Linked DNA regions of Caenorhabditis elegans. The protein of the gene in region 3 purifies or fractionates together with the protein of the main gene of each other region. This does not show direct contact. Each region holds a gene or a part of one and is shown on either strand. Other genes may lie near its edges.

Evidence for each region.
Region 1: the proteins of F37H8.5 (region 3) and T10B10.9 fractionate together in Caenorhabditis elegans (co-fractionation; one large-scale study listed by BioGRID). This does not show direct contact.
Region 2: the proteins of F37H8.5 (region 3) and ZK470.6 fractionate together in Caenorhabditis elegans (co-fractionation; one large-scale study listed by BioGRID). This does not show direct contact.

What each region holds. Positions count from the first base shown.
Region 1 is NC_003284.9:15,162,660-15,165,355, reverse strand, and holds T10B10.9 (uncharacterized protein), read right to left. Parts: upstream 949-2,696; coding exon 780-948; intron 720-779; coding exon 568-719; 3' UTR 501-567; downstream 1-500. Other genes in the region: T10B10.8 (Nucleotide-diphospho-sugar transferase), read left to right, coding at 1,663-1,839, 1,889-2,205, 2,264-2,363, 2,415-2,582.
Region 2 is NC_003284.9:4,175,663-4,179,501, forward strand, and holds ZK470.6 (MD-2-related lipid-recognition domain-containing protein), read right to left. Parts: upstream 1,646-3,839; coding exon 1,547-1,645; intron 1,499-1,546; coding exon 1,279-1,498; intron 1,232-1,278; coding exon 1,018-1,231; intron 967-1,017; coding exon 822-966; intron 702-821; coding exon 609-701; 3' UTR 403-608; downstream 1-402. Other genes in the region: mrp-6 (Multidrug resistance-associated protein lethal(2)03659), read right to left, coding at 2,567-2,743, 2,793-3,068, 3,453-3,701, 3,747-3,839.
Region 3 is NC_003280.10:11,186,096-11,189,934, reverse strand, and holds F37H8.5 (GILT-like protein F37H8.5), read right to left. Parts: upstream 1,730-3,839; 5' UTR 1,685-1,729; coding exon 1,488-1,684; intron 1,422-1,487; coding exon 1,041-1,421; intron 989-1,040; coding exon 910-988; intron 716-909; coding exon 539-715; 3' UTR 498-538; downstream 1-497. Other genes in the region: sfxn-1.2 (Sidoreflexin), read right to left, coding at 1,908-1,994, 2,042-2,208, 2,281-2,408, 2,456-2,541, 2,591-2,812, 3,094-3,314, 3,807-3,839.

The DNA.
Region 1 (2,696 bases), on a different chromosome or scaffold from region 3:
TATATATTTATCTCAAAATGGATCTTTTTTTCAGTTTCCGACGTTTTTAGCTTGAATAGCATAACATGTTTCTGAAGGTTTTTTTTACTCAAAAAAAAAATGAAGACTGAGGTTTCCCAGATTCTTACGTGAATGTCAAAGATTTTTTTTTCATGGGAGGCAGGCACGGTTCAACGACATAACGCCTGCCTCTTACCTGACTATGGCGAGAAGTCAACGATTTGAGTTTACACCATAACAGTGGTTTTTCCGCAGCGACCGACACTTTTCGGGTCCCGCGCCGCAGTATCCAGAACGCGCGGCTCGAGTCGCAAGGCAGGCGAAGGCGTTTTGAAAGTTCCAGTTATGATATTCAGTCATTTTGAGACCATAAAAATATTTTTTTTTTGTAAATCATTTTCCGCTGGCTGTTCTTCACCTTCTATAGGCCATAATTCAGATCCTCATTTCAAGGGTCCAGCCATCTTCAATATCTGAAATATTTTCGGGGACCTTTTTTATAATAAATAAATGCATTTATTTCCTTTCAAAAAGCCACAAGAGAGTGAAAGGCATAAAAATTAGAACTCATTTCTTCGGCGGAGTCACGGGACTGGGTGGGGACCCGTCGTTCGGCAGTGGCTGGACGAACGATCCTTTTCCAGTGGGTGTATTCGGTGGCCCCCACCCAAATCTTGCCGATGGCGACATCTTGGTTCCGATGACCAGAAGTTCGTCGTCTGAAAAATAAGTTATTTTGAAAACCATATAAGACGACTACTGAATGAAAAGAAACTCACTAGTCACATTCGGGAGAAAATTTTCTCTGACGAGAATAAATCCGATGAGAAGAAGGAGAATCGATGATTTCATGACAATATGACGATCTTTGGCTGTGCTGCCCGCTTTTATTCGGACGATTTTTAGTATCCCACCATTAAATATGTATGGTGCTGGGAACAATACCATCCGAATTTGCGTATTGTTCCCACCACATCGATATTTTATAACATTTATCAAAAACGACCAAATATCATATCAAAACGACTGAACATCATATAAAACACTCTAAAAACTTTAAGGTTTTGGCAAATTGTCAAAATTTGGCAAAATATAAACTTTTGAGGAAATCCAAAGCAATGTGGCATGTTCCGACCCCTACAATGTTTAAATACAAATAATTGAGGCAAAATTACAGTACAATAAAAAATGTAAAAATTGTTTTTTGGTCGACTTCCAAAAATATGAGTTATGAGCGAAAACGGAGTAATTTTCTTTTTTTGACTGTAAATAAAAAATATTCAAAAAAAAAATTTGTGAAAAGATTCATCATGATATTCAGTCATTTTGGGAGCATAAAAATGGTTCTCAACAATTTCCCCACTGGCCCTATTCTACCTTTAGAGAACATTAATTTTTTTGGCATACGTTGAACACTTTCATCATTAGCTCACTGTGAAAAAGTTTTCTTCTAACTTAAGCTCTTCACAGTGCAATTTTTTTAATATACAAGTTCAAATTTTTATAGCACGTTTTTTTTTTTGATAAAATTTTTGTTGGTGTGTGAAATTTTGAAAGAAAAGATAACTTTGAAAAACATTTCCAATCTAGTACACAAGGTCTTACTAAAATTTAAACTCAGATTTTCATTCATTAATTGTTCACCAAATTTTTATTTTTCAGTACACCAAAATCCGACTCTGGGCGATGACCGAGTTTGACGTCATCGTCCATCTTGATTTGGATATTTTGCCAACTCGAGACATCTCAACCTTGTTTGAGTGTGGATCATTTTGTGCCTCATTTCGACACTCGGATATGTTCAACTCGGGGGTTTTCGTATTGAAAACCAATGAAACTGTACGTTTTTTGATCCTCTAAAATGTTTACAAATCAAATGCAATTTAAGGTCTTCCATGACATGGAGCAGCATGTTGCATCAGCGGAGTCATACGATGGCGGTGATCAAGGATTTTTGAACACTTACTTTAGCGATCTCAAGTTTGCACCAATGTATGACCCGAACAAAGCACCGCATACGTGCGAGAACTATTCCATGAATCGATTATCTGCACAATTTAATTACGATATTGGAATGTATTATTTGAACAATGGAAGGTTACTTGTGGACCCTGCAATTTTCCATTACACTCTTGGGCCAACAAAGCCATGGTTGTGGTGGACCTATCCGATATTTGACTTAAATTGGATGTGGTTGGATGCAAGGTAACATTAGCTATAGACACAATTTTTTTTTCAAATGTCACATACATTTAAATTTCAGGCAGGAAATGGAGCAAGGATCAAGTGCAGATTTTGATACATGCGTTTCTCTGGCCACCACAAATTGCTTGCTCATAGTTTCTCTACTTGTCATAAAGCTGGTAAGAATTTATAAAGCTGAGTAAAAACTTCACAAATTATAATATTTTCAGGTTATCGAGCGCTTTGTGGTCAACGTAATCAGTACGAGGAGTGTCAGCAGCATAGAAACTCATTTAGTTTCTCAATCCATATATTTGTTCTCAATGTGGTTTGCATTAAAACTTGCACATCCGTCTGCACAACCTGTTGCTGCCTGGGTGTTTTTCACGTCAAATTTGGTGAGTTTTTAACAATAATTTTTTTTAAGTTGAATTTTAGAGGCTTGACTGCAGAGTAGAGGGTACATCACTAATTTTCGACTGTGTACAAAAAATTTGTTTGAAATATTTCTA
Region 2 (3,839 bases), on a different chromosome or scaffold from region 3:
CACTTTCCCCGGTGTTATTTACTTTTTTCTCAACGATCAGGTTTATATACATATTTTTTAAAGTTTCGTTAATGTTAATCGCTTAACATATTGCATTTGATGCTCATTGGTCGACAAAAGTTTTGCAAGTAGTGTACATTACTCAACAAATATTATTTGTTTGTTGTTTTTCTTTTTGACTAATTAATTCCTCTGGAAGTTTTCTCCGCTGAGTAGCAAGAAATTAATTTACTCTCTCAGCAGAATGATTATGGAATTATGGAATTTTCAGCGTTATTACTCGAGATAAACATGTGTCAAAACAGAGATCTAACGAAAGCCGGATCCCATGTGATTTTCAATTCTTGTTATTCACACATGCACCTTAGTTGTTCCAGACCATTCCCACATATCAAAACAGAATATACTATATTATTCATTTTTTGATAACCTGTAACAGAGAGTCATAATCATAAACAACTGGATGAATAGAAACCACTTGGTTCTGGTGTTCACTGGGGGAGAAGGTAGGGAAGGGGAATTAAATTAATTGGGTTGCGTCCCGGTTATCGTTCATAAATACTGCTGATAAGGATCTTGGTAATAAATAAATAAAAAGTGTCTTGGTCTCAGAGTGTGATTCTAGTTTGGATCGTAGCACAAAGCAACTCTCGGTAGGGATCTCGATTGTCTCGGACTCGAACCATCATTTGGTAGGCGGACTGAAAAATTGAAGTATACTGAAGAAGTGGATTTCTTTTTAATATTTCAATTTAAGAAAAAAAAACGTATTTGCTAAGCGTCCGTCAACGGCTCTCCAGTACAATAGCCATCGCGTTTACCTTATGGTCAGTACCCACCAAGTCATAGTGAATCATTCGGAACAGATTCGTAAACAACTTTGTTGGATCAATCTCGAATTCGATAACCTGACGTCCCGGAGTCACCGGACATGACGGGTTGTCGTCACACATATCATAGTTGCTCCTTAAAAAAACATTCAATGTTTTTCGGTGTTCTGCAAAGAAAACAACTTACAACAGCCCAAAGCTTGGTAAAAACATCCACCCACATCCGAACCATCCGGTTGAACGTTTAAAGATTGACACTTCGACGCCCAAATTGTCATATCGTTTGTTAGAATTACTGGTGATGTCGAGGAAAATTCGAATAGGCGAGTTGAAGGAAACCGGGTAGGTATCATCACCGTTGCCGTTTGTAATTGCACCGCCGTGAAGTTCAAACTTTGTGTCTACAATTTTTGGTATTTAGGGCTCTGTTTTACTAGAAGTACTGTACCTTCTTTACACTGGAAAAACGACGGACGAACTCGTGTTCGATTCGGAAGAGCAACGCATTCTTCTTCTTGTTCTAGAGAAGAATCTGCCATAAGGTATGGAGCATCCGGTGCAACTTCAGGGTCATCAGTGTTATCTTCGTTCGAGCCAGCTACTTCTGCAGCTTGATTACTGGCATCTTGATGGCTACCAAAGTTTTTGAAAGATCGAAAACGAGCAGGCTAAAAAATAAACTAAATCAAAACAAACACAAGTAAACAAAAAAATACCACTTCTTTTTTAATTTCAGCGCTATCTTGCTCAAATTCTTCTAAACTTGCAAAAACAAAAGGGAATATTAAGAATAGTAGAATAAAACGGAAATTCATCGTTAACAGAATTTTTGTTGAAATCTTCACTTGGAAACTTTTTTGGAACTGGCCGCAACCTGGGTGTATCGAATGTTTAGAATAAAACACAGATGAGTGCAAATTGAATAGAGCACTCGACGCACGAAAAGGTGCGGGTTGGTTTTTGAATTGCCTCAGGTGCTAGCGGGAGGTCGACGGGTGCGCTCTGTTCTGCTGTTTTCTGTGCTTTATATACCTGACCGTCTTTTTTTGTAGAGCGCCCAACATGTGGGGCGTTCTTGAAAGTCCGACAAAAACGCGATTCGCACCTGGTTCCAAAGCTCCGCCAAATCACTCGAGAGCCCGCATTTGTCGCTCGATCAATTTCTAATTAGAGCAAATGGTGAAGCACTCGAGATTGCCATTTTTGGCATTTGAAGATTTGCTCATTGCTTTCTAGACGGCTCTCTTCCTCACTCTTGACAAGTTTTTATCAGACACTCGTCACAGAAATGGTCTGCTTATTTCCATGGGACAGTGCAAACACAGAGCACAAAATAAAAACAGAAAAATAACAGAGTTTCTTTATTGGAAAAAAATGAGGGGGATGGAGAAAAGAATAGCTTGCATGAAATACATGTTTCGATTAGAATCATGAAAGTCAGAAAAAAACCACAGAACAAAATTGCTGATATTACCAAAGAAAAATTAAATTCGACACATATAAAGCTACACGATGTGGACGATGCGATCACTGGGCCAAAACCGAAATGATCTTAGATCATGGTATGAACAAGGAATTATTGTGCTCAATGGAATGATGGAATAAAAAGTGAAATAAAAACAATCTCGATTCCCTTTGAAAAGGTGACATTGAACAATTGAATTGCTATAAAATGATGTGAAAGTGAAACAAGTTATGATTTGAATATTTAGAAAACATGGAAATTTAATGAAACTTTAACTATTATCCGTATACGATGACTGATCATCGATTGCATGGGCCAATGCAGCCGCCCGAAGGGAGTCAAAATTTTCAGCCCCTGATTGAGCAGCCATTCTTGAAAACAGCGAGCTCTGATCATCCAGCAAAGTGATCGGTTTGTCAAACTCGACGAGCTCTCCTTTTTCAAACACCTGCAAGTTGCGAACCTAGGCATTGTTTGCTTGTTGAGAAACCACTTACCATTACATTATCGCTGTTCATAATGGTGTGAAGACGGTGGGCCACCGTGATGATTGTGGCGTTTTTGAAAAAGTCTCGAATTGTTTTCTGGATGCAAGCATCTGTCACTCCATCAACATTTGCGGTTGCTTCATCAATAACAAGAATTTTGGATCGGTGGATCATTGCTCGGGCAAGACAGAAAAGTTGACGCTGACCGACAGACAGGCTGACTCCCCGTTGGCCCAATTCGACGTTCAATCCTTTTTCTTTTGTGATGGAACGTTTAAGCTCACACTGAAAATTTTTTCAACGATTATCCTACAGAATCTATTAAAAATTTCGATTTCATATGAATTTCGGAATCTCGTATTAAATTAGACCGTTGGATCAGATTTAGGCACACATAGGACAAAACTAGGGCTACGGTGAGGTGAAGTTTGAACTTGGTTAAAATATGAGAAAAAGTTGGATCAGACTTGGGAGGGGTCATGTCCAAGTCTTCCTCAAGTCTTGCTTATGTCTTGTCCAAGTCTTGCTCAATCTTTGCCCAGTCAACATTTTACTTTTTCAATAAAATTTGTAAAGCCAATGGTGTTAAAACAAGATTATAGGGGCCATAAAAATGGCTTATAAAAATTTCATTCTCACATGTTATTCTTCAATAAATTAAAGCCATACCTGCTCTAACGCAAACCAAATAGTAGCATCATCATACTCATCGAACGGGTCCAAATTCTCCCGGACCGTTCCTGAAAAGATTACGGGCTCCTGCGGAATGATAGACATTCCTCCTCTTCTGAAGTTAAGACTAATGTGATCCAGATCCACACCGTCGATAGTGACACGTCCAGAGCAGTACTCTTTCAGTCCAAAAATAATTTTAATGAGTGTTGATTTACCAGCACCAGTTCGGCCGACGACTCCAATCTAAGTTTCAGAAGTAATACTCTGAACAAAAAGTTAGTAACTCACCTTTTGTCCACCTAAAACAACAAAGCTAAGATTTTTGAGTACTTTGGTCTCCCCATAATTGACAGATACATTTTCAAACTCGATTTCTCCTTT
Region 3 (3,839 bases):
ATGGCACTTCCATTTTCAACCGGATTACAAAAACCTTGGCATAATTCTTAATTCACAGGTGACCCTCTTCTCGATGCTTATCGGTGCCAGTTTGAAGAACAAAAATATTTTTGTGGCCACGTTCCACGGGTTTTCTATGTTAGATATGTTGTTTTACCTTGAATTTGTGTGAAAAACTTGACCCAAATAATTTACAGTGATTGTAATCTTCAAAGTTATAAAGTTGCAAAAATGCTAATCGAATTAGAAAAAAGATTATGATCAAGGGGGAATCTTCGGAAGAGCTGAGTCTTTCCAAAAAAAACTTCAAGGTCAATCCTGCTGGGGAGGAAGTGCAACATTATATGATAATCGAATTCTCAGGCGAATTTAATTGGATTTTCTTTTTATTTTCCCTGTTCTCTTCCGCGTAAAGCAGGAAAAAATGTGAGTTATTCTTGATTTCCTTCATCGAGAAGGTAAACAGATCAGGTCAAGGCAATCGCCTTCCGGAGGATATTGCTAATATTTTATTCGAATTACTTTATAAGGGAACACTTTAAAAGAAGCTTCTAATACTGGCCTTCTTGTACTTCAATTTGAGAGCAGCCTCACAGTATGGAATGGCCTTGTCTCCAGAATACCATTCGCAGAGGAGGGTTGGAAGTTGGTTTTGGAATCCTTGGAAGCTGGTGAGAGAGACCCCATTGATGATCACCCATGGGACGAACTTGTGCTGAAATAGTTTAAGTTTCATGAAAGATCCGTTAAAAATTGTTAGATTATTTAAAATTATCAGTCAAAGTTTTAGAAAAAACGAAAAAAAAAATTAAAAACTTTCAAAAATTGGAATTTATCATAACTATTTGAATTCAAATTTTACGGTGATTTGGTAAATCTTCATTGATTTTTAAATTTTTGAAAAATAACCTGCTCAGGCCAAACATTGGCTGTGGCCGCGGCGGCTTTATTTTGAAGATCAGCTCCGAGCTTTGACACCAAACAGGATCTGAAAACTTTCAGCTCTTCAGAATTTAAACATTTTCTCAACACAAACTCACTGTGTCAATCTCTGAATATCCCCTCCAATTTGAAGTTTTTCGAAACATTGTTGAACAGCATCTGCAAATTCAACCTTCTTCTGAAGACTCTCTTCAATACAAGAAAGAGTTGGAAGTGGGCTCTGGTCTTGCATGGAGTCGATGAAGCATCCTTCGAACTTGTTAATCGAGCATTCTTCCTCTCCGTGCTGGCACTTGATTGTTCCATCTTCCAGGACCTTTGCATTTCCGAATGGGACTAGTTCAATGTTGACATAGTTGGCAAAGTTTTTGAAGACGATTGGGTATAGTTGCTTGGTGAGGAAGTTTTGGCAGTCTGGGCAGAGAGCTTCGATCAGAACAGTGATGTTGATTTTTTGATTGTGAGTGGCGGCGCGATGTCTGAAGATTTAAACAAAATTTTAAAATTTACAGTTTCAAATAAGTATTTTATGTTATGATACTAACTTATCACAGAAGGAAGCGAATCCACATTTCGCCTCAAGATCCTTATTCGAGCACCACAATGATGTCGGAATAGCAGCACAGTTGATTGTGGCCTGAACAGCTCCAAGGAGCAAAATTGCGGCAACGAGTCGATAGAGCATTTTGAGCAAGACTGGCTGGATGGTGGGGGTCAACAGGCAGCGACATGTGGTGTCCATTGAAAAGATAAAAACAGAACAAAACAGAGATGATTGGGTCAAATGAATGATTTATGGTTGTGCTGATGTTAGGGGTTTTTGCAGGCGGAGGAGCAACTATCGATTTTTTTGATAACAACATTTTGGATTCTGAAACTTTTTGGGTATTGCCAAACCGTGGCATTCAGAAAATTCAACAATCATATTTATTGTTGAAAAACGTCCTAAGTGTGAATTGATTTTCTCACAATCCCTTATTGTAGAACACTACTTCAGGCGCATCGGCTCGGGAGAATATCTCTTTCTGAACTGATGCTTCCAGTTTGGTAACCTGAAATATTGGGTTTCCAATGCATAATTATCTATGTTTTATCTTACTTCAACTGCCGTCTTCTGCGGGAAAAGTGCACAACACATTGGAGTGGTGAAGAAGAGAGCCATCCCAGCGAGCATAGTTTGAATCGGGTACTCGGAGTATTTCATCCAGGGACGGGTGCGGTAGTACATCGTTCGTGTGATTCGGTTCATTATGATTGGCGTCATCACTGAAAATTACTGTCTTAAAATATATTAGCAGGAGGCAAATCTATAAAAGCTTAACATTTGATAAAACCTACCCATATCTGGCATTGCCATTGCAATCCGACTCAATGTGACTTGTGCTATGGAGAGTATAGCCATTTGTCGGGACCTTGCCAAGAGCTCTCCGTTCTCATCACGTAACTCCAATCCTTCTGTTACTTCGCTAAAAATCGTCTTTAAAATTTGAATAATTCATGTTAATCAGCTCACTTGCTCCTTATCATCGGAATGTTGATTGTGTTAGCCAATGCTACAGCGGCAAACGGAACCAAGCGAGCAGCAATACTGTTCTTGTTCTGGAATGTTATAAAGGAAAATTCGGCAGATGTTTTTTCAGCTGTTTACCTTAACCATCGCATTCAGTGACAGAGCAGCAGCCATAGCTCCTCCAGTAGCACACGAGTAGGAGAGAATGAGCCTTTCGTTGCTGGTTTTACTGTTTCCACTGCGGTTCGTGTAGTTGACAACTGCATTAAACGATTGATTAATCCAATGGGAAAATACAACACCCGGGAATGTACGGTAAAGGCTCAAGAGCATTCCGTTGATGAGCATGTTGGCGGGCATCTGAAACTGTAGATATTGAAAAGAGAGGCTTCTAGGGCAAAGATTGAATTTCATTAGATATTTTTATAATTGTTTTTAATTATTTTTGGAGCAAAGAAATACCTTCTGGGAAGTTGGCGTTAAATTTTTGTTCAAGTTTGGCTCAAAAAATAAATTTGGCTCGGAATTTGGCATGGGCAAAAGTTTGGTCAGACTACGCCAAATTAACTAAAGATTGAGTCAACTCTGGCCAATATTTAACACAAACTTTTTTGTGTTGCTTCAATTGGTTTTATATGTACCTGTGCACTCATTCTTCCCAAGAAGAACATCTTCTCCCCGGTATCCGGATGATACGTGGAATCATACAACGTCTTTGCCTTCCACAACTCGCTCACAGTCAACGTCGGACTGACTTTTCCGTTCTTGTAGTCCAAGACAATTTGTCGGCATTGCTCTTGTCGTGCAACTGATGAGGTCAGGGTGAGTGGGTTAGTAAGAGTGAAAAAGTGACGGACACGACCTGGAAAAGAGGATTTCTTTACAATGTAGGTTAATAAATGTTAAAAATCAGAAGTAAATCAGATTGTAATTTATTGATTTCTGGCGTTTCCAAATTTTCGGGTCTCTCAAGTTCAAAGCGGCACAAGAAAAGTTTGAGCCAAAGTGTTCCAAGAGTTTGATCAAACTTGGGACAAAATCTGGCGCAGCCTAAATCCAGGTCTTGTCAAAATCTTGCCCAACTTTCGCCGAAGTTTTGCCAATTTCTCATCAACGTTAATAGTTTTGGGCAAAACGTGGGCAAGAAGCTAGAGCCAAATACCGAATAATTCGATGAAAAAGGTGTCCAATGTGCTATTATTGAAAAAGGTGTCCAATGTGCTTCGCGATGTGCTATTATTCACTTTGAAAAATGCAAGAATTTTGCAATGCACCGCACATTAACTTTCAGATACATCCCATCTAAACAGTCTTAACTTCGCTGGCACTTTTTGGCAACCTGAAGAATTCTTACCGTAATATGTCCTTTGACTCCATTGTGGCTTCG